Caenorhabditis elegans: one gene and its partners. The protein of the gene in region 4 interacts with the protein of the main gene of each other region in a pairwise test. Each region holds a gene or a part of one and is shown on either strand. Other genes may lie near its edges.

What was found.
Region 1: the proteins of tcc-1 (region 4) and F35C11.5 interact in a two-hybrid assay, tested with the Caenorhabditis elegans proteins (one large-scale study listed by BioGRID).
Region 2: the proteins of tcc-1 (region 4) and flap-1 interact in a two-hybrid assay, tested with the Caenorhabditis elegans proteins (one large-scale study listed by BioGRID).
Region 3: the proteins of tcc-1 (region 4) and unc-116 interact in a two-hybrid assay, tested with the Caenorhabditis elegans proteins (one large-scale study listed by BioGRID).

Annotation. Positions count from the first base shown.
Region 1 is NC_003280.10:8,251,871-8,256,300, forward strand, and holds F35C11.5 (Phospholipase A2), read left to right. Parts: upstream 1-1,873; 5' UTR 1,874-1,883; coding exon 1,884-2,103; intron 2,104-2,163; coding exon 2,164-2,258; intron 2,259-2,335; coding exon 2,336-2,552; intron 2,553-2,599; coding exon 2,600-2,770; intron 2,771-2,816; coding exon 2,817-2,866; intron 2,867-2,950; coding exon 2,951-3,115; 3' UTR 3,116-3,449; downstream 3,450-4,430.
Region 2 is NC_003281.10:6,923,131-6,930,897, reverse strand, and holds flap-1 (Leucine-rich repeat flightless-interacting protein 2), read left to right. Parts: upstream 1-2,082; 5' UTR 2,083-2,087; coding exon 2,088-2,174; intron 2,175-2,221; coding exon 2,222-2,338; intron 2,339-3,072; coding exon 3,073-3,132; intron 3,133-3,181; coding exon 3,182-3,271; intron 3,272-3,314; coding exon 3,315-3,488; intron 3,489-3,662; coding exon 3,663-3,739; intron 3,740-5,315; coding exon 5,316-5,542; intron 5,543-6,018; coding exon 6,019-6,098; intron 6,099-6,147; coding exon 6,148-6,252; intron 6,253-6,416; coding exon 6,417-6,521; 3' UTR 6,522-6,798; downstream 6,799-7,767. Other genes in the region: inf-1 (Eukaryotic initiation factor 4A), read right to left, coding at 1-292, 377-649, 699-761.
Region 3 is NC_003281.10:8,350,216-8,356,823, reverse strand, and holds unc-116 (Kinesin heavy chain), read left to right. Parts: upstream 1-1,649; 5' UTR 1,650-1,728; coding exon 1,729-1,767; intron 1,768-1,814; coding exon 1,815-1,910; intron 1,911-2,083; coding exon 2,084-2,245; intron 2,246-2,478; coding exon 2,479-2,776; intron 2,777-2,824; coding exon 2,825-3,054; intron 3,055-3,101; coding exon 3,102-4,427; intron 4,428-4,477; coding exon 4,478-4,769; intron 4,770-5,012; coding exon 5,013-5,017; 3' UTR 5,018-5,660; downstream 5,661-6,608. Other genes in the region: R05D3.6 (Putative ATP synthase subunit epsilon, mitochondrial), read left to right, coding at 6,019-6,099, 6,322-6,405. UniProt on the Caenorhabditis elegans protein: Microtubule-dependent motor protein required for organelle transport. Plays a role in endosome transport. Required for the transport of mitochondria along the axon of motor neurons. Involved in the nuclear migration of hyp7 hypodermal precursor cells.
Region 4 is NC_003283.11:17,852,728-17,858,084, reverse strand, and holds the start of tcc-1 (Ribosome-binding protein 1), read left to right. Parts: upstream 1-2,095; 5' UTR 2,096-2,098; coding exon 2,099-2,218; intron 2,219-3,069; coding exon 3,070-3,626; intron 3,627-4,482; coding exon 4,483-5,082; intron 5,083-5,357.

The DNA of each region.
Region 1 (4,430 bases), on a different chromosome or scaffold from region 4:
TCACGTGGTTTTAACTTTTATGACGGCGTAACTCGAACACGTGTTGATACTGAAGTTATTGTTATTAGATTTTTTCTTTTTTTCAATTTTCGAATAAAACTTAAAATTTTACTGGATTTTGTAAAGTTGACTGTAGTCAAAAAATCAAAAGAACAATATAGTTGGTTGTGCGAAAAATAACATCGGCAATTTTCAAAGGGATTCCTCTTCTATGTTTTGATTCCAGAAAGCTTTAATGGTTTTTGAAATTATTTTCTATTTTCTCCATTTGAATGTTGTGTTTTGTTCTTAGTTGATCCACAGGAAAACTACAGTAGCAAAGCTTTCCATATTTGCAAGCTTATGCAATATTCAGTTCTGGATATTTTGACCAAGAGGACTGTTGCAAGCCTATTGAATTGTAATATGATTTTTCTGTTTCCTTAAATTCTATAAGATAACTTACCAAAATCTCGAGAGGTATCTGAGCTCTACAAACCAACTCCACCCACCAAATTATTTGGTTGTCCGAGATATGATGGGTACACAGAACAGATACCAGTGATACACAGAACAACTGTCAGAACTTTTCAATATGCCAACTTTTTTCGACTTTCAAATTTTTTTGGTAGATTCATCCTTCATCCTCTTATTTCCTCGTTTTTTACAGTTTCAAGATACAATCTTTGCAACCGTTCGTTCCTCAATGCCTCATTTAATCTCGCACCACTTTTCTTCGTTTTCCCATCACCCCATACAGATTTCCTTTGTTCATTTTACCGCCAGGAAGAGATCTCTTTACGGGGTGTTTTAAGGGGCGTAGGCGGGGAAGGAGGGAGACTATGGTGGTGGTGATCAGGCCATTTTTACGGCTCTCGTTGAGCTGTCAAACTACTCGATTGCACTATCAAGTGGGATAGGGAAGCTGCTCCCGTTTGTGAGCACTTGTGTGTAGCCAATACACGAAAAAAGTTAGGATTTTGGATGAGTAAATAGAAAATGAGGTGATTTTGTCAATTAGGTCATTTTCGACACATTTCTCACTTGCTATGCATTTTCTAGTCATAGCAGCGTTTTCCCCAGTGGAGTAACTTTTTCGTGATTTCAATGGGTTACTGTAGATGTAGTAGACTCTAAAAATATAATAAATGCAACCTATTCATGTCAACTAAAAAAACTCGAACCACAGTAATCCCCCTATAACTTCAGTGCTAATTTTTTTCGATTTCAATTAATTTTAACGAAGTCTCTCGTCACTTATCATTAGTGGTTCAAGTTTAATATACCGTAGTTTTCCTGGATGTTTCCTTCTTCGGAGATTCCATACAGATTTTTACACTATCATTGCCGTTGAAAAAAACTATTTTTAGTACTCTGTTCTGATGATAAAGTCGCGGACATAAAAAATAAACCAGCAATGATTCACACTCCTCGAAAACTTTGTTCACTTTTTCAAAATTTTCAATTAGGTACTGTAGTTCTGAAATTGTGTGGTTCACGCAAGGCGCATTGCACACTTTTTTATTCTCTCCAATTTTTAGCGCGAAATTTTTTTTGTGAAAACAACTGAGGACCGTTTCCACTCGATTTTCCTTTCTGCCTACAAGCCAAATAAATTCATTTCTAGTATCTTTGTTTGCTGTAACTCATTTCTGCTTCTGAATTTCGTGGAATCTTTCCTATTTTACAAAAAAGAAATACGTTTATTTTTTCTAAACAATCTTTCAACAAAAAACCATCAGCCGAATTTTCTTTTAGTTTGTCGACGATTTTCTCTCCGCACCGATGTGTTTTTTATTGTTGTGAAATTGGAGTTTACGGTTTACGGTTTTCTGCGCTCCCCATTTCCACTTTCCGCATCAATTTCAATCTTCAATCAGTATTATTTACAGATACAAAAGAGTATGTTCCTCCAATCCGCCACCCTTGTCATCATAACGTTGCTACCATTATTCAGTGGACTTGAGGTGAGACGGAGGAGGTCCGTTGCTCCTTTTCTTGGCTCGGGTGGATCACAGCCAACCGGAATGCTCATTTCACCAGAGCTCTGGCATTGTGGAAGTGAAGGAAGTACGCGGAATTATACCTATCAGGCTACTGTTCGAGATTGTCCTTCTCTTGCAGGTAGCAATTTTCTTTTAATAAATTATTACGAAAAAGTTCTTAATTTAAAATTATTTTCAGCTGCTCTCAATCACTGCTGTGCGATTCACGACGACTGCTACGGTCAACAGAAGGGTCAAGAGAAATGCGATGAAGATTTTTGTGAATGCAATCGTGTTAGTAATTTTCAGAAATTTTTTAAAATGAAGTTCAATCGAAATAAGATTCAATTTCAAAATAAACTTTTTTCCAGATGGTAACCCGTTTGCCTACCGAAGAAGGTTACAAATGCCGTGCAGCAGCAGATGATGCATGTCTCATTCTCGCAGTGCTCGGCTGGTCCGCCTATGGTGATTCAAATTACACTGATCCTACGAAACCATCAGCAAATGTGTTGGTTACACCTGAGACAGTTCCGAAAATGGAGAGTGACTTCATGAATTTATATTCCAAGTGTCCTTATGCCAATAGTAAGTGGTCGAAACATTGTTTCAGTCTTTAATTATTCATTTTCCAGTAACCCTCGCTTCATGTGCTAATAATTTCGATCTCTGTGCCGTTGTTCATTCTGTGGATTTCTGCGCCAATGATCTTTGCCACTGTATGTTGGATGCTGCCGAATCAGACGATATTCACAAGAAAGAATGTTCCCCAGCAGTAGCTCATACTTGCAGAGCTGTTTTGAGACGTAAAAAAACCCTTTTATTCCATGAGAAATTAACATTTATTTACAGATTCGAGTGACGTGCTTGCTTCCCGAAGTGTCACCAGAAACTTCATTATCGTGAGTTTTCATTAGTTTTTTTTCTTAAGGAAATATTAATTTAAAAAGTAACAATTGAAATTTCTATATCTTGCAATTTTTCAGATCGCTCTTCTTGTTCTTGCCGCAGCCTCAGTTGGTTTCGGACTTTTCTTCATGTACACACGAGTTGCTGGAGAGAGAAAGAAGGTCGAAGAAGGCAAATATCTGCAAATTCACACTGTGGAGTCGGCCCGATCAGTCAACCCATTGCTGCTCAGCGCTGACTGATTTATTTCCAAAAATGTATCTAATTCTGCAAAAATTGTTCAATAATTTATAGCACCCGTCCTTCCGTTGTTTCTTTTTTTCCTTTTTTTCTCGTTTTCTTTCCTCAAAAATTCTTTATTGCCTCCAAAAGTAGAGTTTTATCGTCGAACTTACCTAACACTAATATCATTCTTAACAGCACGAGCTTGATTGTTACAGCAATTATTTTTTAAACAAATTCCGGGTTGGAGGGATTTGATTTCTCTCCCAGATTACAAATTTATTACGGCTAGTTTTATCCCTCAAAAATTCTGTTCAATAAATACTTCATTTTGCTCTTTCGAGCATTGAATCTAAATACAGAGTTGTACAAAAATAGCTACATAGAAAGGAATTTTGAGAAGAGTTAAACAAGGATATTTCAGATCAAGGGTGGGCGGCATTTGCCGTTCGGTAAATCGGCAAATTGCCGGTTTGCTGATTTGCCGGAAATTTTCAATTCCGGAAAACTGTCGATTTGCCAAAAATTTTCAATTCTGGCAAAGTGCCGGTTTGCCGATTTGCCGGAGATTTCAGCAAATTGCCGATTTGTCGTTTGCCGGATATCAGATTTGCCGGAAATGTTTCGGGATTTTGTATACGACGTAAACTCGTAAAAATGCCTTTTTGAAAATTTTCCCGTTTTCTTTATATTTTTTCATAGAATTGGCTTACTTTTCAAAATAGATGTAGGAACATTCATAGGATGCGTACAATATTGCCGATTGAAATTAAATTCTGTCATTTCCAAAAAAAAAGTGCAAAACCACACTTTGCCGAATTTTTTCGGCAAAAAAATCGTTTGCCGCTCACCCCTGTTTCAGACGATTCCATCTTTTATTTCATATAATAACTAGAGACTAGTTATTCCAATACTATCGAGCATCTTCCCTCTTGTTCTAAATATTTCAAACAGTTGAAATGCAATGGCCATGATGAGATTGTGGTGTCAGAATTAAGCGGATCGACGTAATCTCTCTCTTTTTCCGCACAAAACCATCATTTTTGTATGTACGTATGAACCCACACATGTTTTCTCTTCAAATTGGGAAAAAATGTTTAATTTTTCAAAAGAACAAACTATTATATTTCTTTTCACATATTTTTATTTCTTTTCACATACATATCTTCTACCATTTTGTTCCATAATTATACTTGTTCTTTTCTAAATCCCGTCGTTTCTTTTTCCTAGGGGAAAGTTTTGGTTAGATCATCGTTTGTACTTGTAGTTTGTTTAAATTGTTACACTATTTCAAACTTTGAAACTTCAGATAATTATTTTCTCTCAAAAATGTCT
Region 2 (7,767 bases), on a different chromosome or scaffold from region 4:
CCGAAAGAAGGACTACTTGAACGTCTTGTGGCATGGAACGGAAAACCTCGTAGATCTGATCCTTGAAACCTCTAGAAAGCATTTCGTCGGCCTCGTCGAGAACGAACATCTTAATTCTGGATGTGTCAAGAGCATTTCTATTGATCATGTCTCCAACACGTCCTGGAGTTCCGACAACGACGTGAATTCCGGCTTCGAGTTTTCGTTGATCGTCGCGAACACTGGTTCCACCGATACATGGAAGAATGTTAACGTTGAGGTACTCTCCGAGGGCGCTCATGACCTTTTGGATCTACAAAGAAAGATTTTGAAAAGTTTTCTTTAAAAGTATCTGCTAATAATCTATAACTAAAATACACTGAGTGAGAAAGTTTACCTGTTGAGCCAATTCTCTGGTTGGGGCCATAACGAGAGCTTGCACGTGTGGATCCTCGTGGTCGATTCTCTGAAGAATAGAGACCGAGAAAGTTGCAGTCTTTCCAGTTCCAGATTGGGCTTGAGCGATGACGTCCTTTCCAGTGGTGCATGGAACAATTGCGCGCTTTTGAATAGCAGATGGCTTTTCGAAACCGAATCCGTAGATTCCGCGAAGAAGCTCCTCCTTGAGCTCCATGTCGTCGAAAGATTCGACGACTTGATCATAGTTTCCCTAAAATTGAATGTATTCAAATTATAATAAATTATGTACATTAACTAACCTCGATCAAGCCGTCGGCATCGACCACCGAAGATACGTTCACATCATTTTTAACATCGGTCATGACAGGTGGGTTGAAAAGTTAAAAATTAACTTTTGGAAGTGCGATTGAGTTTCTGAAATTGAAGTAAAATGAAATTTCGAAAGTATTTCAGCATTAAATACAAAGATAAGGGTGTTGAAATAGTTCTTCAATAATAATAATTGCGAAATACAGTATCTCAATCCTAAAATTTTCGAATAAACCCATCCAAAAGAAATGAAAGAAAAGTTTCGACCTAAAAACCTTTGTTTTTTTGAGAAAAAGCATTTGAAATAAATATATTCTTAACACGAAAAGCATAAAAAACGTTTAAAAAAGCTTTAAAATCTAAAAAGAGGCTAAGAAACCGCCCCAAAACCGGGCCAAATCATTCGAACAAGAGTGACGGGTCTCGAAGCGAAGAGAGTGTTCATTAGAGCGCACATTCATACCATCAATTTTTTTTGAAGAAAAATGGCTCTTTTTTATTTGACCAATTCAATTCTTTATAATTTTTATGTACATTTGGTTATACACATTTTTGAATTCATTTTTAAAATAATTTTAATGATATAGATTCAAAATCTATACTTTTTCCGTTTTTTGAATGCAACCTGCGTAAAAAAAAGACGAGTAATCACTAACACTGACGACAGTGACATGCACTTAAAAGTGGTTCGAAATTTAAAAAATTAATTTGGATTTTTGAAGCCAAAGTAAATAATAAGGAAAGTTAGAAGGCTGAGTGTGTATGAGGTCCTCATAAAGAAAGTGAGAAATGTTGGTTGAACGATGAGAGAGCACAGCGAGCAGACTGGTCAATTTAGGCAAATGAGCGCGACGAATGAGAGTAAGAGCCGTAGAGAGCACAGCGTGCGGTGTTCCAGACGCGATGAATAAGAGAGAAACGAGAAGAACACCATCTGCTCTTCAAAAACACCTGTTGACACCGAATTAGGGGCTTGGTTAAATGCCAAAAACTGCATTGTTCGTGGATTAGGAAGAAATTGACCTATGTAGACTGTTTTGTATTGTGAACAAGAATAAATATTAAATACAGAGAAGAAAAGGTATCTGAAATCAAATAAAAAAAAGAGATCAAATTCATTGTCATGTTCACAGGCCATAAAAATCCTGAATTTTGCGGAAGGCTGTTCTCCCTCATTTCCCTCCTCCTCACTCAACCCTCACACATATTGACATAAATCTCGAAAGACGGAATCCGCGCGGACACAACGCGCGTTGGAAACATTACACTCATTTTCACTGCTGCTTCCTCTCTGTTCGTTATTGATTTTTCGCCATTTAAAATATTCAAATTCTCCTTTCTTGTGCACACACCATAAACACATACAATTTTCAGAAATCATGAGCTCATACCCATCCAGTGGTCGCCGGCGACCTATCACCCGATCAGAAGCCGAAGAAAGAGCATTAGACAAAATTTCCAGAGAGGTATCTTAACAATTTGAAAAATTCGAATTAAAAACTAAAAGTTTTAGGCGGAAGCTCGAATGAAATTGAAACGAGAAACACGAGAACAAGCCCGACAAGGAAGATATCAGTTGTTAGAAAAAAAAGTTGAAGAAGATGCGGAAGCTTATCGTCATGATACTGCTGTAAGTCGATTATTAACGAGAATGCACGTTTGACGTTGAAGTTTTACTCTCGAAACTACGTTTTTCATTTTCAGTAACCCTTCGTTTTTAATATTAATAAATTTTCGTTGAAAAAGTTCAAAAAGTATCCTGATTTCCATAAATTATTCTTGATTTCTTTTAAAGAAAAACTACATGTTCGTTATTGATTTTTCACGCAAAATTAAGATGCCCTAAAATAAAGTTTCTTAAATGTTTTTATAATCAAAAAATCTTGCGAAATTAATTATCCTAGAAAATCAAAAATAAATTTCGCTATTTTTCGTCCAAAATACGGTACTCTTTCTCGACACGACAAATTAGTGTTAAATAAAAAAAAGGACCGCTCCTTTAAAGAGTACTGTAATTTCATATTCGAAAAAACAAGGAAAAAAAATCGTTGAAAATACCATAGTAACGAAAGTTTCATATTACAGTACTTTTAAAAGGTGCATACCTTTTTTATTTAACAAAGCATTGTCGTGTCAGGACCTAGTACCGTATTATTTGCGCAAACTTTCGCGACTGGGTAATATAAACACCGAAATTCCTGGAGATCCAAAAAATGTTAGTTCGTAGAGTTCGAGTTCACTACTGCCGTATTAAAAAAAATCTAAGTTTTTAAATTAATGTCTAACTATTCTCGTGTTACTTTATATTTTAACCCCAATTAACATAAATTTTCCTTTTGAGAAACTGTTTGTTGTTAATTGCAGTCAACATCTAACACGAATGGAGTGTCATCCCAATCTAATCAGACACAGGAACAGTTGCATGTGAGTGATCTAAATTGTTTTTAACAATATATAAATTCATAATTCACAGGATAAAGTGATCGAGCTCCAAGATCGTGTTCAACAAGTCATGTTTCTATATTCTCAACTGGATAATGAGAAATCAACGTTACTTTATGAGGTGTTTTATTCGAAAGTATTTATGAAAAAATCTTAATTTCCAGGTTGATCTTCTGAAAGATGAACTTGAAGAGAAGGATGCATCCTTGAATTTATCATCTCGAGAATGTCGTGATCTTACGAGTGAAGTTAAAGCTTTAAAACGGACCATCGACGCGTTACACGCTTCTCAACAGCAGCTGAAACAAGAAATTTCACAGCGAGATCAGCTTATACAGGTGGGCGTATAATTGTTAAAACCAGCAAAAGATAAAATCGATTTTAAAAAAACCTGAGAAGCTAGGAAAGTCCTTTGTTCTGATTTCAAGAGACTCTTTAAAATATACTTAATATTGCAAAGCAAAATTTAAATTGGGGTTTTACTCGTATTGCTCTGTAAGTAATTATTTCAGGAAAATGGTCTATGTCTTGTCGAAGAAGATCCGGATGATGAAGGATCCGAATCAACGAATAACGCTTCTGGAGAAATGTAAGTTTTTTTTTTGCATGAAACTGGTTTTAGTAATTTCTGAAACTAAAATAAAAATTTCGGGCCAAAAAATTAAATTTATAAAAAACCAAAAAAAAAAGACCAAACCGATTAGAAACCATTAAAAACCACATTTTTCTAAAAAAATTTTTTTTGCAATATATGAAAATTTTTCGTCAAAAAAGCATTCAAAAAAAGTCTAGAACTGATTGAAAAAGATAGAGTCACTTTTCCAAATATATTTAGAATACTCTGTAAATTTTCTTTCAAGTTTTCGAGAAAAAAATTGAATGCGTATATTGAAACTGACTGTAAATGCTAACAGTTTCTTTAATATATATGATGTTAGGTTTTTAGTATTATAGAAGTCACTTTGAACAATTTCCCCACTAAAAACCGTTATTTCGCCTTTAAATAATACCTTGTTAGAAGGAAAAAGCCAAATTCTAAAATATGAACAATTTTTCGTAACTGTGATGTGCCACGCGTTGACTTCATGTTTGACTTTTTCAAATATCTTAGTGATTGGTGATATTATAACTAAGAGTATTCCGATGGTCCCTTGGACTTTCAAAACTTTTCAACATTTTTTCTTCTAAATTCGTCATCATTGCATTGTTTGATTAGGAAGGAGACGGCCATGAAAAAGGGAAAAATGCGATGAAGTTGTTGTCCGTATGTCTTTTTCGTTCATTAAGCTTAATCAAATGTCTTCATCCTCTTCTTTTTTTCCCCTATCATCATCATTGCCGCCTTCTTCTGAAAATGTTGATGTCTCGAAAATCTTGGAGAATAAAATAAAATTATTCCAAAGAATGCGCGATGTGCAGCAAAAAAGTCATCGTTGAGAAGAACAAACACTAGAAACATTGAACCATTGAAATATTGATGAATCACGCGGCGCGGGAGGCTTCTAAATATAGATACGGCTTTCTTCAAAAATGAGAAGATGCAAAGAGGTCAACATTTTGTTTGACGTGAGAAGTTTTGATCTTAGTTCTTTCGGGATTTAATTGATCTCAGAAAATTAGTTTGAAACGGAAATAAAATCACCGAAATTAAAAAACCTTAAAGTTTGGTTTAAAACTAATCTCTGCTGTAGTAAATATTTTTTTTATGAAGACACAACGCTTTTCTTCCAATTCATGTTTTTCATTCTTGAAATTGGAATTTTTTCGAAAATTCCACAATTGCCGAATTTGTATTCGGAAATCGGTTCTTTCGGCAATTTCAGAATTATCAAACATTTGGATTGTCGCCCATCCACAAATCACCCTTTACCGGCCCCTTGTCTTGAATAACTGTTTCCCTATACATCTTGGAACGAAAAAAGTGTCTCGGCACTTTTCGTCAATGACGCACCCCTTTCTTCTTGTTCATTATGTTCTGAATCCATTAGCATTAGTAGCTCCCCGGGGGATCGTTGATTGAATCGAAAATTCGTTGTCGGCACAAAAAAGGCGCGACACTGCGTTGCCGAATTAGTAATGCTCCCCCACGCAAGAGTTCTCTTGGCATTTTTTAGTTGAAAATTAATTTGGTGGTACTGTATATGATGGAAATACTTTTTTTTCAGAAGATCTGGACCATATCTCTTCAAAAGAGAAACGATTCGACTGGTTGATCGAGTGGTTCCTGGTGCGGCGAGTCTTGATGATAAAATCCAGAAACTTGTTGATACGAACAAAAAGATGCGAAAAGATTATGAGGAGTTGGAACAGACAATTTACACGCAACGACATGCTCGTAATGCACGAGATTCGGCAAATGTGATTCCAAATCAAGGAGTTGATGATGTTAACAGTAGGTTTTTTCGTAAATTTTGCATAATAATCAGAAAAAAACGGTGGTGATTTCCCGATACTTTGAAAAAATTGAAAATTTATCTTGAAAGTTTAGCCCTTTTTTTATTTTTAAAGGAAAATTGTTTTTTTTCATCAATATAAACAAAATTTCATTAGAAAACAAATTTTCTAATAACAAAAATTGGCTTTATCAATTTTTCTATTAGATATGTTAAAAAAAACCAAAACATCAAAAATTTTTCGACGACGCCCATTTTTGATCAAACAAGAGAAGAAATTATTTTTGTTTAAAAAAAATGTATTTTCAAAGGATACATACGGGAGGACATTTTGAGGCGACAATTCAGTAAGATATAATTTTCATTTTTAGACGTTGTGATTGAGATTGGTTAATTTTCTGTCCTAAGTTTCTCAGCTATTTATGATTTTTAAAAGAATAATTGAACATTTTCTAAAAGCTTGCTTGGATTCCAGAAGATGCCGCCAAACAGCTCGCCGAGATGAAGCTGAAAATGCAGGATCTGGAACGAGAAAATACAAATCAACAAGGAAATGTGAGATTCTAAATTGAAGAAGTTATATTTTCAAACATTTATTTTGCAGGTGATCAGAATGGAGGGGCAAATGAAGCGGTACAAATCAAATGCAGATGTAGCTGAAAAAGAATTGGACGAGTTAAAAACTCAAATGAGACAAACAAAGAAAGAGGTACGATCAGTTTCGTCGAAAAATTTTTGCCGATTTTCTAAAGATCGAATTTTTTGAAAATATTGTTAAAAAACAAAAAAATCGAAAAACTACCTTTTTCGATTTATTTTTGGAAAATTAAAAATTATTCTGCGAGAAAAAAATCTAATTTGTAAATTTTGCAGCTTCGAGACAAAGAAAACGCGTTAGACGAGCAAAAAGAAACCAATAAGCATCTCCAAAGTCGGCTGGAAAAAATGAGAATGCAAAGAACCGGTCGCCCATTATAGGATTTGTGCCAGTTAATTTTTTTCATCATTTTTTAATATTTTCCCCCACAAGGTGCTTTATTCGTATTGCCATTATCACCCATCCTAAAATTTTTTAGACATAATTTTTCTGTTCTCAGTATTCTTTTTTTTTCACCATAATTTCTTCCCTGTATGTTCATGTTTTTAGTGCCTTTATTGACTAATGTTTCGAAAGTGTCTTGTAGAAATATGTGGGTTTCCTATTTAACTTTTTTCTTTGTTGCTATTACTAAATTTCATATAAATTTATTGTCATCTATTTACATCCCCTATAATCTGAAAACTTCAAAATACCAAAAACTTCATCTCAATTCACTCTCTTACCAAAACACCCGTCATTTTTCGTTAAAAAGACTCGCCGCTTCGTCATCATCATCCAATTCATTTAAACTTCAAATTCGCGCTCTAATCAATCATCGGTCGCCTTGTCTCTACGATGAGCTGGCGTATCTTTATAATATTCGGGAAATAGATGGAGACGAGAAATGATCTTCGATAGCTCACAAGAACATACGTGGTGACATAGAAGGGAAAAATTGGGAAAAGCCATCATTTTTCGGAAGTTCAATGTTTCAAATTTGAGTTTTGATATATGTATCTTACTTAAATATTGAGCAATTTGTTGTGCAAGTTTAGGTCCTGACACGTGCAAAACTTTTTACCTACCGTAACCACCCGTTCGGTGGATTTTTTTTTTGTATTTTGCAGTTTTTCTGTATATTTAAATCTCTATATTCATATAGGATTACTGTGGGGTTACAGTAGTTTCGGGGAAAAAGAGTTGAATGTTTTGAATAGGCATTTGGTTAAGAGTTAGTGGGGGGGGGGGGGGGGGGGGGATATTACTGTGGGTTACTGTTGTTTTGGGGGAAGAAGAGTTTTGAGCTTTTGAAGAGGTATTCAGTTGGAAGTTGGTTTGGATAATGTATTTAAAGGTACTTTAGAAGTTTTTCATTATTTTTGCTTCCGGAATATTCGAATATTTTAGTAGTTTCTTTAAAATTTTCCAGTAAAAAAAATCAGAAAACTCTAATGTTGTCTGTGAATTTTCTGAAACGTATATCCTATCGAGAGAGAAAAAAACCTGTGAAAATGCAAATTAATCGATAATGTTCCAACTTTTTTTTGGTGAGACATTTTTGAATGATCAAGTAATAGACATTTATTTTTGATACATTATAAATTTTGCCAGTCGCTGGTATATCTACATATATAAACAATATTC
Region 3 (6,608 bases), on a different chromosome or scaffold from region 4:
TGAGTGTTTGAAGAGGCCGTCCGTTGTCCCTCTGACCGAGAATAAAACATTATACAAAATGAAGAGAACACAGGGAACCACGGATGTATCTCTGTGTCTCTTCACGATGCCAATACATTCCTTGTATCCCTTCGAATTTCTTTCTCCAACTCTTTCTACCACCCAATACTAAAGTCTTCCCTCGTCTCTTTTCCCGCCAAACGAATGAATGTTGTGAGTGTGTCTCTCCTCTCGTTTCACTCTTTTTCAATGAAGCTTTTGCACCGACCATCCTCTAGGTCCCACCACGAAAATCTACTGAACACAATACTCCCACCTGCAGTGTCTTTTCTCTCTTATCGTTCTTTTTCGCATCCGAATCGGTCTCCCCCGCCTTCCTTCACCATCTGCCGTATCGTGTCGTATTGGCCATTACTCATTGTCAATTTGATGACCATATTTGGTTTGAGTCTCCTTATTTGCCCTCGGATATCCTCATCTTGTTTAGTTTGTGTATTTATCTATGAAATTTATTTAAAACCGCATTTATCCATATGTTATTGCATAATATTGAAGCTAATATTCATTCCGAAAAGTTAAGAGACAAGTATCGTGGAGAAATGTTAGTTTTTGGATTTGCGATTTCAGTTTCACTTTGTCTTTCTTGTCACTCAGTAAACCCGTTCAGAATATACCCAGATTTAAACCAAATTAAAACCGTACAAGCCTATATTATGAAAAATTCTAATTTTGGGCAGATGTAAACCAAGATTGTCTAGATCCAAACTTAATTTGCATAGATTGCAAGTTTGAGTAGATGTAAACTGAATTTGTGTAGGTTTGTGTATTTCCAAATCGATTTTGTGTAGATCCAAACCAAATTTGTGCAGATAAATTCACAATATAGGCTTGTACGGTTTTAATTTGGTTTAAATCTGGGTATATTATGAACGGGTTTACTGAGCACTGCTGGATGGTGTTAATTTTATAGTATAAAATTTTGAAAATGTACGAGATTTTGCAAGTTGTTTTTAATTTTTAATTCTCGCGCATATACATAAAATGTCAAATATAAATAAGTAATTAAATAAGCATTGCTGAAAAAAAAAAGAAAACTGAAATTAAAAATTAATCTGACCGAAAATACGATAGGCAAACGTACGTAATTCGAAAAACCCAAGATTTCACGACAAATTGCCAACTAAAACATTTTTCCGCGCGGGAAAAACTTTTATTGTTTCCAGAAGTTTCCTGTTGTTTTGAAGCTATTATTTCAATTATAAAACATTTTCCGAACTCATTTTTCGAACAATTTAACCAAAAATGCATAAATTTGTGAAATTTGTGTGTGCCACGTTTGATCGACGCCAGTCTTTTTCTATTTCTCTATTTTCTGTGTGAAAATTTTGAATATTCAGTACAAACGTTGCAGTTTTTGTTATTTTGTTATCATTCCGTTGTCTATCCATAATCTATGAGCCTTTAGTTTATTTTTTGTCAAAGCCGCCCAATCAAACAAAACTCGCAGCTTCTGTGCATCGCGCACGAGACGAGTGATGAAATATTCCGAAATTTCGCAATGTTTTGCCGTTTCCTCCTTTCTCTATTTCTCTTGCATCTCGTCATCTTTTCTTGTTCTCTACTCAGCATATTGATTATACTTATTGCAGGCATTGTAAGGAGAAGCCGGGTAATTAATACGATAGGCGCCGTTACAAACCGCCAACTGGTGATCATTATTCTCTGAAAATGGAGCCGCGGACAGACGGAGCAGAATGCGGTGTCCAGGTATTAATTTTCCCCGCCTAGATTTTCCAATTTCATATTGTTTTCAGGTATTTTGTCGTATTCGGCCGCTCAATAAGACCGAGGAGAAGAATGCGGACCGTTTCCTGCCCAAATTCCCTTCCGAGGACAGTATATCGCTTGGGGTGAGTAATACAAAGGGGTCATAGGGAACAATTATGTCAACAGGGACGGGAAGCACGGGGGATGCAGGTGTGTCAATTCTCTCACATGACACATTCATCTGTTTGAAAAGTACACGAAAAGTGCAAAGTTGAATATATATATATATATCGATTGATTTGTTGGAATTTTTCAGGGAAAAGTATACGTGTTCGATAAAGTGTTCAAGCCGAACACCACGCAAGAGCAAGTGTACAAAGGAGCCGCTTATCACATCGTACAGGATGTATTATCCGGTTATAATGGAACAGTTTTTGCATATGGACAAACATCTTCCGGAAAAACACATACAATGGAGGTAGGAATTATGAAAACCTTGATAATTACGTAGAATGCGACAAAGACAATCAAGTTGTAATATCAACAGTGCAAATCTTTACTGATTAATGAAAAGAAAAGTTTGAGAACTAATTTTCAGCAGTTATTTCCGAAATCGAATGCCCGAAAGATTTTTGATAATTTTTACGTTTAAAATATTCGGCGCTCGATGAAATTAACAATATAATTTAATTATTTTCATATTTTTTACAGGGAGTAATCGGTGATAATGGCTTGTCGGGAATCATTCCACGTATCGTTGCTGACATCTTTAACCACATTTATAGTATGGACGAGAATCTTCAATTTCACATCAAAGTGTCCTATTATGAAATTTACAACGAGAAGATTCGAGATTTATTAGACCCCGAGAAGGTCAATTTGTCCATTCATGAAGATAAAAATCGAGTGCCATACGTGAAGGGAGCCACCGAACGGTTTGTTGGAGGACCCGATGAGGTTCTTCAGGCAATCGAAGATGGAAAATCCAACAGAATGGTTGCAGTTACGAGTGAGTAAACTTAAAATTAAACAAATTAACATGTGAACGAAATTTCAGACATGAACGAACATTCTTCTCGATCTCATTCCGTCTTCTTGATTACTGTGAAACAAGAACATCAGACAACAAAGAAACAGCTCACCGGAAAGCTTTATCTTGTTGATTTGGCTGGTTCTGAGAAAGTGAGCAAAACTGGAGCTCAAGGAACAGTTTTAGAAGAAGCCAAAAACATCAACAAGTCACTTACTGCACTCGGAATAGTTATTTCAGCATTGGCTGAAGGAACTGTGAGTTGTTTAAATTATGACCTTCTTAAAACGAATATTTATTTCAGAAATCTCATGTTCCATATCGTGATTCCAAACTGACTCGTATTCTTCAAGAATCTCTAGGAGGAAATTCCCGTACTACAGTTATTATTTGTGCTTCTCCGTCACATTTCAACGAAGCTGAAACTAAATCCACACTTTTGTTCGGAGCACGTGCGAAGACTATCAAGAATGTTGTACAAATCAACGAAGAGCTCACAGCAGAAGAATGGAAACGGCGATATGAGAAAGAAAAAGAGAAGAATACTCGATTGGCCGCCCTTCTCCAGGCAGCGGCTTTGGAACTTTCACGCTGGCGTGCTGGAGAATCAGTGTCTGAGGTTGAATGGGTCAATCTATCAGATTCTGCTCAAATGGCTGTGTCGGAAGTTTCTGGTGGGTCGACTCCACTCATGGAACGTTCGATTGCTCCAGCTCCTCCAATGCTAACTTCTACAACTGGCCCGATCACTGACGAAGAGAAGAAGAAGTACGAAGAGGAACGTGTCAAACTGTATCAGCAACTCGACGAGAAAGATGATGAGATTCAAAAAGTTTCGCAAGAGCTTGAGAAGCTTAGACAACAAGTTCTTCTCCAAGAAGAAGCTTTGGGAACTATGCGTGAAAACGAGGAGCTGATCCGTGAAGAGAACAACCGATTCCAAAAAGAAGCTGAAGACAAGCAGCAAGAAGGAAAGGAAATGATGACAGCTCTGGAAGAGATTGCTGTCAACTTGGATGTTCGACAAGCAGAATGCGAAAAATTGAAGAGAGAGTTGGAAGTTGTTCAAGAAGATAACCAGAGTTTGGAAGATCGAATGAACCAAGCAACATCACTCCTCAATGCTCATCTTGACGAATGTGGTCCAAAAATCCGTCATTTCAAAGAAGGAATCTACAATGTTATTCGTGAATTCAACATTGCTGACATTGCCTCTCAAAATGATCAACTTCCTGATCACGATCTTCTGAACCATGTCAGAATCGGAGTTTCAAAACTCTTCTCAGAATACTCTGCTGCGAAAGAGAGCAGTACAGCTGCCGAGCATGATGCTGAAGCGAAACTTGCAGCTGATGTTGCTCGTGTTGAATCTGGTCAAGACGCGGGTAGAATGAAACAATTGCTGGTGAAGGATCAGGCGGCAAAGGAGATCAAGCCACTAACAGATCGTGTCAATATGGAGCTTACAACGTTGAAGAATTTGAAAAAGGAGTTCATGAGAGTACTTGTTGCTCGATGCCAAGCCAATCAAGACACCGAGGGAGAAGATTCTCTCAGTGGACCAGCTCAAAAGCAACGAATTCAGTTCTTGGAGAACAATTTGGACAAGTTGACGAAGGTTCACAAGCAGGTTTGTCGTTTTTATTCTCATTTTGATTATCTTAAAACTTGAATTTTCAGCTTGTTCGCGACAATGCCGATTTGCGCGTTGAACTGCCAAAGATGGAAGCTCGTCTTCGTGGTCGTGAAGATCGCATCAAAATATTAGAAACTGCTCTTCGTGATTCGAAGCAACGTAGTCAAGCAGAACGAAAGAAGTATCAACAAGAAGTTGAACGAATCAAGGAAGCTGTTCGACAACGTAACATGCGACGAATGAATGCTCCACAAATTGTGAAGCCAATCCGTCCAGGACAAGTGTATACGTCTCCGTCAGCAGGAATGTCACAAGGAGCTCCAAATGGCTCAAACGGTGTGTTTAGTCAGACATCTACACCTTCAACATCTCGCAATCAGATACCATCAAAAATGACTATTTCACAGTTGATTGCAGAAATTTAAGATTTTTTTAAAAATTCTTTAGTGCTCATGTAATTTTTCACAAGTAATTATACTATGAATTAGAATTAGAGTGAGTGTTTCTTTTTCTTCCTACCGTATTATCAAATTTAACAGTCTTTTGTCCGTCCATTTTTCACTAATCAAAGTTTTTCAGCATAATGTCTCCCAACAACAACATCAACTCATCGTCTTCTTTGATCCAATCAATACACTGAAGACTGACATTCAAATGCTTCTCTATCTCTCTTCTTTTCCCGGCTTTGTGATATACTTTCGATGGGCTTTTCTGTTTATTTTAAAATCTAGTAACTTATACAATTACGCGGCTTCTGGAAGTTTCAACAAAAATATCTTCATTTGGTTGGTTGTGTCTCCCCATTTCGTTCCTTGGCTTCTCGTCTTCCATGTAGAATACAAAACTTCAAAAGCTAAAAGTATTTAAAGCTTCCCTCCACCCCCACCCAAATTGCCTTTTTCCGCCTTTTTGTTCTAATAGTCTGTTTCTATACGATTTTCCTGTTTCAGTTTTACTAATCTGACACGAGGTTTTGTCTGGTTCTTCCCCCCGTCACCCACCAACACTCCTATGATTGTTTTTTGCATGCGTTTGAGTGTCTTTAAAGCTTGCTTGCTAAATCCCCCTATCATTCTTCATAAGAAATCAACTTGTTTCGTTTCTGCACAATTCGGCCCCCAAATCCCCGCACATCCCAATTGCGTAATTCATTTTTTTGTATCTTTTGCTCTTCCAGTAAATAAAATTATTATTTTTTCTGTTATTAAATAAACGTTTTGCTGTTTTTTAAACAAGATTTTACAATAACATACGAGCAAGAATAACCAACAAACGCATGAGCTTAACTGATTAGTGTTCTGGAGTGAGAATATCATTGAAAACTATGAGAAATAAGTTTAATGTAATTAAATATTTATTGATAGTTTTGTTTCCATTTTGGACCAACTAATTATTATTCAGTAACTTTCGAATATTATCAAGTTTCCTGTTGAACTTTGACTGTATAAAGTTTTTATTTTTTATTTTACAGATTTCTCTAGTCTAAAGGTTGTTCTCCATACCTTTCAATTTACTTCCTTTTTCTGAAAATTTTATTATTTTATAGTATAAATTAAGGTTAAATAACTTTCCCCCAAAATCAAAAATGGTCGCCTGGAGAGCTGCTGGACTCAACTACGTCCGTTATTCACAAATCGCCGCACAAGTCGTTCGTCAGTGCACCAAGGTTTGTTGGACCCTTAAATAACAATATATGCCCCTTTAAGTGGTACAGTAACCCGTTCCGTTAATTTTCTGTTTATCATTTTTCAAGTTATAACCTATAGGTTTCAATTAAGTAATATGTTTCTGAAAATTACCGGTAATTAATTACTGGGCTCCTAAAGGTTCACACATTTTTGTCCCACATCAAAGTATGAAAAATCGCAAAAATTATCAAAAATTACAGGGAGGCGCCAACGTGAAGAAGCCCCAAGCCACCTTGAAGACCACTGCTTGGGAGAATGGAAAGATGGTGTCCAAGTCTCAATAGATTCATTCGATAATTGATCATTTCCATTTGAGAAAAAAATAAACAAATAGGTTTCATCAAGTTCGGTGCAATATGCCATTTTCCGCATTTTTTATTGATTTGTGTGCAATAATAAACTCTTAGTTTTGTTTGAAAGCGTTTGAAAAAGTGAGAAAAAATGAGTATTGACCAGAATAATAAAAATCCGACAAAACAAACTCCCG
Region 4 (5,357 bases):
ACGAATAGATAGTGTACGTGGAGTGGAGAGTCACCAGACAGAGCAATAGGGAATGTCCAGAAGCATCGGGAGGGATGAGAGGACGTGGCTGCAGTGCCCCCTGTTTCTCTGTGTCTCTGCGGTATTTCCCGTACTTTTTTTGGGGGGTTTCTTCTCCTTTGCAGCAGATCCCGAAATTCCTCGAATTTCGCATTTCCGCCGCCGCCCACTTTTTTCCAGCTTTTCCAGCAGCGATCTGGAATTTTTGAAGCTTTGACGTCCGTATTTTGAGATTTTGTTCCAAGAAATTTAGTTTTTTGAACTGAAAATCGAGGAAATCGACCGGTTTTGGGCCAGGTTTCTCTGAAAATTGGTGCCTAACCAGGGTTTCTAACTGACTTTAATGTTGCCCAGTTTTGGGATTTTTTTGGTCGGTAAAACCAAATTTTTTTTCCTAGAAAATTAATCTTATGGAAAAAAAAAACTGGATTTTACCTGAAATTTTCGAATTTACTGACTGTTTTAGTCTATTTTTTCGAGTGTTTCAAAGCAAAATTCCCACTGACACCGCCGGTAGGCAGGCAAGGCTTCAGAGAATGATGCCTGCCTGAAATCTGCCTGCCTTTCGCCTCTTTGCTGCATTTTGACATGAGTTTTCAAATTTTCTCATTTCTATCAATTTGTTAAAAAATCAAATTACACGTAACACGTATTGAGGCGAGAGTCAGGCGGAGTCGGTCGCCTCAAAGACAGGCAGGTAGGCCTACGTTCAAGGCCTACACACCAGGGGTGCCAGGCTGCCCATTTCGGTTTGATCTACACAAAAATGCGGGAGAGTTTGAGACGCGAGTTTTCAACCGATTTTGCATGGTTAAGAACGTGCTGACGTCACATTTTTTGTTGGGCAAAAAATTCCCGCATTTTTTGTAGATCAAACCGTAATGGGACAACCTGGGGACCACGTGGGCCTACAGAAGTGTGTTCCTAAACGACAAAAAGCCTACAATTTCTCTTCCTATTAGGTTTCTCAAGTATCAAAGTTTTTCATTGATTAACACAGGGATACACCCCCTCTCTTGATGATTTTCTATTTGACCTCGATATTTCGGAATTTCGGGTGTACTTTGTCGTTCCCCGCGCGCGGGCTGCGAAAACTTTTTTTTTAATATAAAAGTTGTCTCCACCGCGGCCCGCGCAATTGTCTTTACCCCAACGGAAATGCAATTATTATTGTCATTTTTATCACCACCATTTCAACTTTGCCGATCTCTGTGTGAAATTCTCAGTTGCCGTCCCCGAAAGTAAAGAAAAGTGCTCGAAATGCCACTTTTTTTTTTTTGGAAGAATTTTCAACTTTGAAATGGATTTTCCCGAAAAACTGGCATCTCAGCGAAGAAATTTCTCGGTTGTAGTGGAATTTTCTACTCAAAAACTCGATTTTTTTTTATTAAAAAATTCAAATTTCGAGGTATTTTAGTGGAATTTTCTATTGAAAACTCAATTTTTCACATTAAATCCCATATTTTTTCTTGGAAATTATCGATATTCAGCTTTAAAAATATGTGAAAAGTTGAAAAATGACTCCTTTGTCGATTTACGCAGCTCTTGTGTACTTCTCGAGGAGAAGAGAAGATTTGTACAGTTATAGTAAAAATGCGGCATTTTTGGATATTTTTACTAAAATTGTAACTCTTCTCCACGAGGAGTACACAAGAGCCGCGTAAATCGACACAGGAGTCATTTTTCAACTTTTCAGATATTTTAAAGCTGAAATATCGATAATTTTCAGAGAAGAAACATAGAAAATTCCACTAAAAACGAGAAATCCATTGAAAATAGCTCGAAATTCGGAATTTTTAATCGAAAAAAACGAGTTTTTGAGTAAAAAATCTCTATGAAAATGTGGGAAATTTGATATTTTCGAAATAAAATCGATTTTTCAGGGTTTTACACTGAAAAAGTGCCATTTTTTTCGAAAATTTCGAATTTTACACGTTTTCATAGAGATTTTTTACTCAAAAACTCGATTTTTTCGATTAAAAATTCCGAATTTCGATAATTTCTCCATTTTCCCACTTTTTTCTATAAAATTTCTAAAAATGCTAAATAATTTCAGCCAATGGACTCGTCATTCGTCGATCCATCAACAGCTCTCGGCATTCTCGGTGGTGTTGGTGTATTTGTGTTTGCAATTTATTATATGATATTCATGAATCGACAAGAGGATAATTTTGACAAGGTTCGGAACGATTTTCGTGGAAAAATTGAGATTTTTCACACGAATTCTGATCAGAAGAGTGAAATTTCAAGAGATTATCGACTTTTTTCGCTTAACAACCGGATTTTCCTTGACCTAAAATTGGCCTAAAACTTTTTTTTCCCCGCGAAAAAACCAGGAAAACTAAATTTTTACGAGAAAAGTGGATATTTTTCAGAGAATTCTGACTGAAAAGGCAATTTTCCTCGGATTTTCTCATCAAATTGACTGAAAATCTGCGAAAAATACCTTTTTGTGCCTGAAAATTGTTGAAAAAAATTAATTTTTATCAGAAAAACGGCATTTTCAGCAAACTTTTATTCTAAAAAAGACGATTTTTAACGAGGAATTCGATATTTTTTCCGAGAATTTTGACTTGAAATGAGCAAAATTGCTCTTTTTCACTTAAAAAAAACAATTTTCCTATCAAAAATTGGATTTTTATCGAAGTTTTCCCAAAAAAAGAAGGTTTTCGGTTCAAAATTGGCTTCTTTCGGTTTTTTAAGGCAAAAATGAACAAATTCAGGCCAAAAATGCCAATTTTCAGGTGTAAATTTAAAATTTCAACACAAAAATCGTCTTTTTGTTTTTTTCGATGAAATCTTCGCTGAAATTCGGTTTTCCTGATAAAAATTGGTTTAAAAAATGGGAATTTAGGCACAAAAATGTCGTTTTTTGGGGGAAATTCTGAATAAAATACGATTATATTTTCAAAAAAAAAAAACAAATATTCCAAGGAATTTCTCCAAAAAGAAGGATTTTTGTGTGCTGAAAATTGGCATTTTCAGTCAAAAAAAAAACTGTAAAAATCTATAAATTTTTCAAATTTTCAGGCTTACAACCGCGACGCATTGGCTCTTTTGACTGACAACAACGAGAAGAAGAAACAGCCAAAAAATAAGACAAAGAAGCAACAGCAAACGGGCAAAAAAGCACAAGATGCCGCTCCAGCTCCGGCTTCAGCTGCTCCAGCTGCTCCAAATGCTCCAACTCCAACGGCTCAGCAACAACCATCACCAAAAGCTTCTGCTGCTCCAATTCCAGAAAAACCGGAAATTCAAGTCCAAAAAGTGGAATCTACTCAGGCTTCTGCTCCAATTCCAGCTCCAGCAGCTCCAACAACTCAAAAATCGTCTCCAAAAGAGCGAAAATCGGTGAATTTGAAGGATTTGGATCAGAAAAAGGTGCTCAACAAGCTCTCCGGACTCCCAGAACTCGATGAAGCTTATATTCAATTCTTGGCTGGAGCATTCCGTGATTCTGATGCTCAGAAGAATAATTTGAGTCTGGAAGTTAAGGCTTTGAACAAGAAGATGACGGAATCTGCTGTGAAAATTGAGAAATTGAATAAAGAAAAGATGGCTGTGGAACAACGCGAGAAACACGAGCAGTATGTCGATTTTTTACGCGGAAAATTGAGAAAAATCGTGAAAATTGATGAAAATTGGTCTAAAAATGATAATTTTGTGCGAAAATTCAAGAATTTCGATGGAAAACGTGGAAAAATCACGAAATTTCATGAAAATTGGGCCAAGAATGATATTTTTTCGTCCGAAATTTAAAAATTCTGAACTAAAATTGCTGACCACGCATTTCTGACAAAAAAAGAGGCAATTTTCTCCAAAATTTGATGAAAAATCGTTTTCTCAGTCGAAATGCACCATAATTTAGTCAATTTTGACGGAAATTAGGCAAAATCGATTGAAAATTTCCAATTTCCCGCCGAAATTTGACTTTTCGACGATTTTTCGTTAGCAAACAGCTGAAAAACGACATTTTGGCCGTGAAAATTGTAGAATTTTGTTTTAAAAATTACTATTTTCAGCCTAAATTGTTGTACAACGGTAAAAACCCTAATTTATTCAAAAATTTAACTTTTCTGTCTTGAAAATCGGGCTGAGAACCGACAGTTTTACGCAAAAAAATGCTCCAAATTTGTGAAAAATCCCTAAAAACTTCTTAAAATTGAGCTCAAAGAGTCCGAGCAGGCATTCCTTTCAAAAAACGGTGAATTTTAAGAAATTCGCCAAAAATTACAAATTCCAGCAAAAAATTCAACTTTTGGTCTTAAAAATCGGCTAAAAAAACGCTGAAATTGCTGGAAAAATTTTCAATTTTCCGCTTAAAATCTCTCTAAAAACCTGCAATTTTTCAGTGCTCAACGCCAAAAAAAGCTCTAAAAATGTGAAAAAACCCAAAAAATTGCACTTTTGAGCCTAAAATCCGAATTTTCTCCTGTTTTTCAGAGCTCAACGCCAACAACTCTTGCAAAAAGTGGCTCAAAATCAGGCTCACGAATCAGAATTGGCTCGTCAAATTCAGGGAATTGAAGGAAAACTTCGTGTGAAAGAGCAAGAACTTGTTGCCGCAGGAAAAGCTGTCAAAAATAATGAAGAGCATGAGAAAGAGCTGAAGCTGTTGAGAAGCACGAATTCGAGTTTTTCAACAGAGCTGAAGACGATTCGAAAGGAACATGAAGCTCAGTTACAGAAGAAACAAGAAGAATGGAAGAAGCTACATGAGCAGTTGGAGCAAGAAAAGGAGAAGCTTATTTCGGAAAAAGAGCACGCAAAACAGACACATTTGAAGCTGGCGGCAGCTGTTGAAAATGTTGAAGCTGAACTTGAAAAGCAAGGAAAAGAATGGATTCAATTGAGCACACACAATCAAACATTGAAACAACACAATTTAGAGTTGGAAGCTGCTCTTTCAGTGGCAAAAGCTCGAGATCAAGACGGAGAAGCTCAGAAATGGACGATGGAAAAAGCTCAGATGATTGAGAATTATACGCGATTGGAGGCACTTATCGGGGAGCTCAATCGAGATATTTCAGAGTTTCACGAATAGTGAGTAGATGAACAATTTTCGAGGAAAATCTGAAAATTTTCAGAAAAACGGAAATTTATGTTAAAATCGAGAAAACAGGCAATTTTTGCGCTGAAAAACCGAAAATTTCGAGTTTTTCCACCCTATTTTTGGTCTAGAATCGGTCAAAAATGAGCAGCAAAGTCATGAAAAAACTGAATAATTTGAAAAAAAAATGCACGTTTTGACCAATATTTCACTGATTTTTACCTAAAAACTGCTGAAAAGGAGACAATTTTGGAGAAAATGTGAGAAA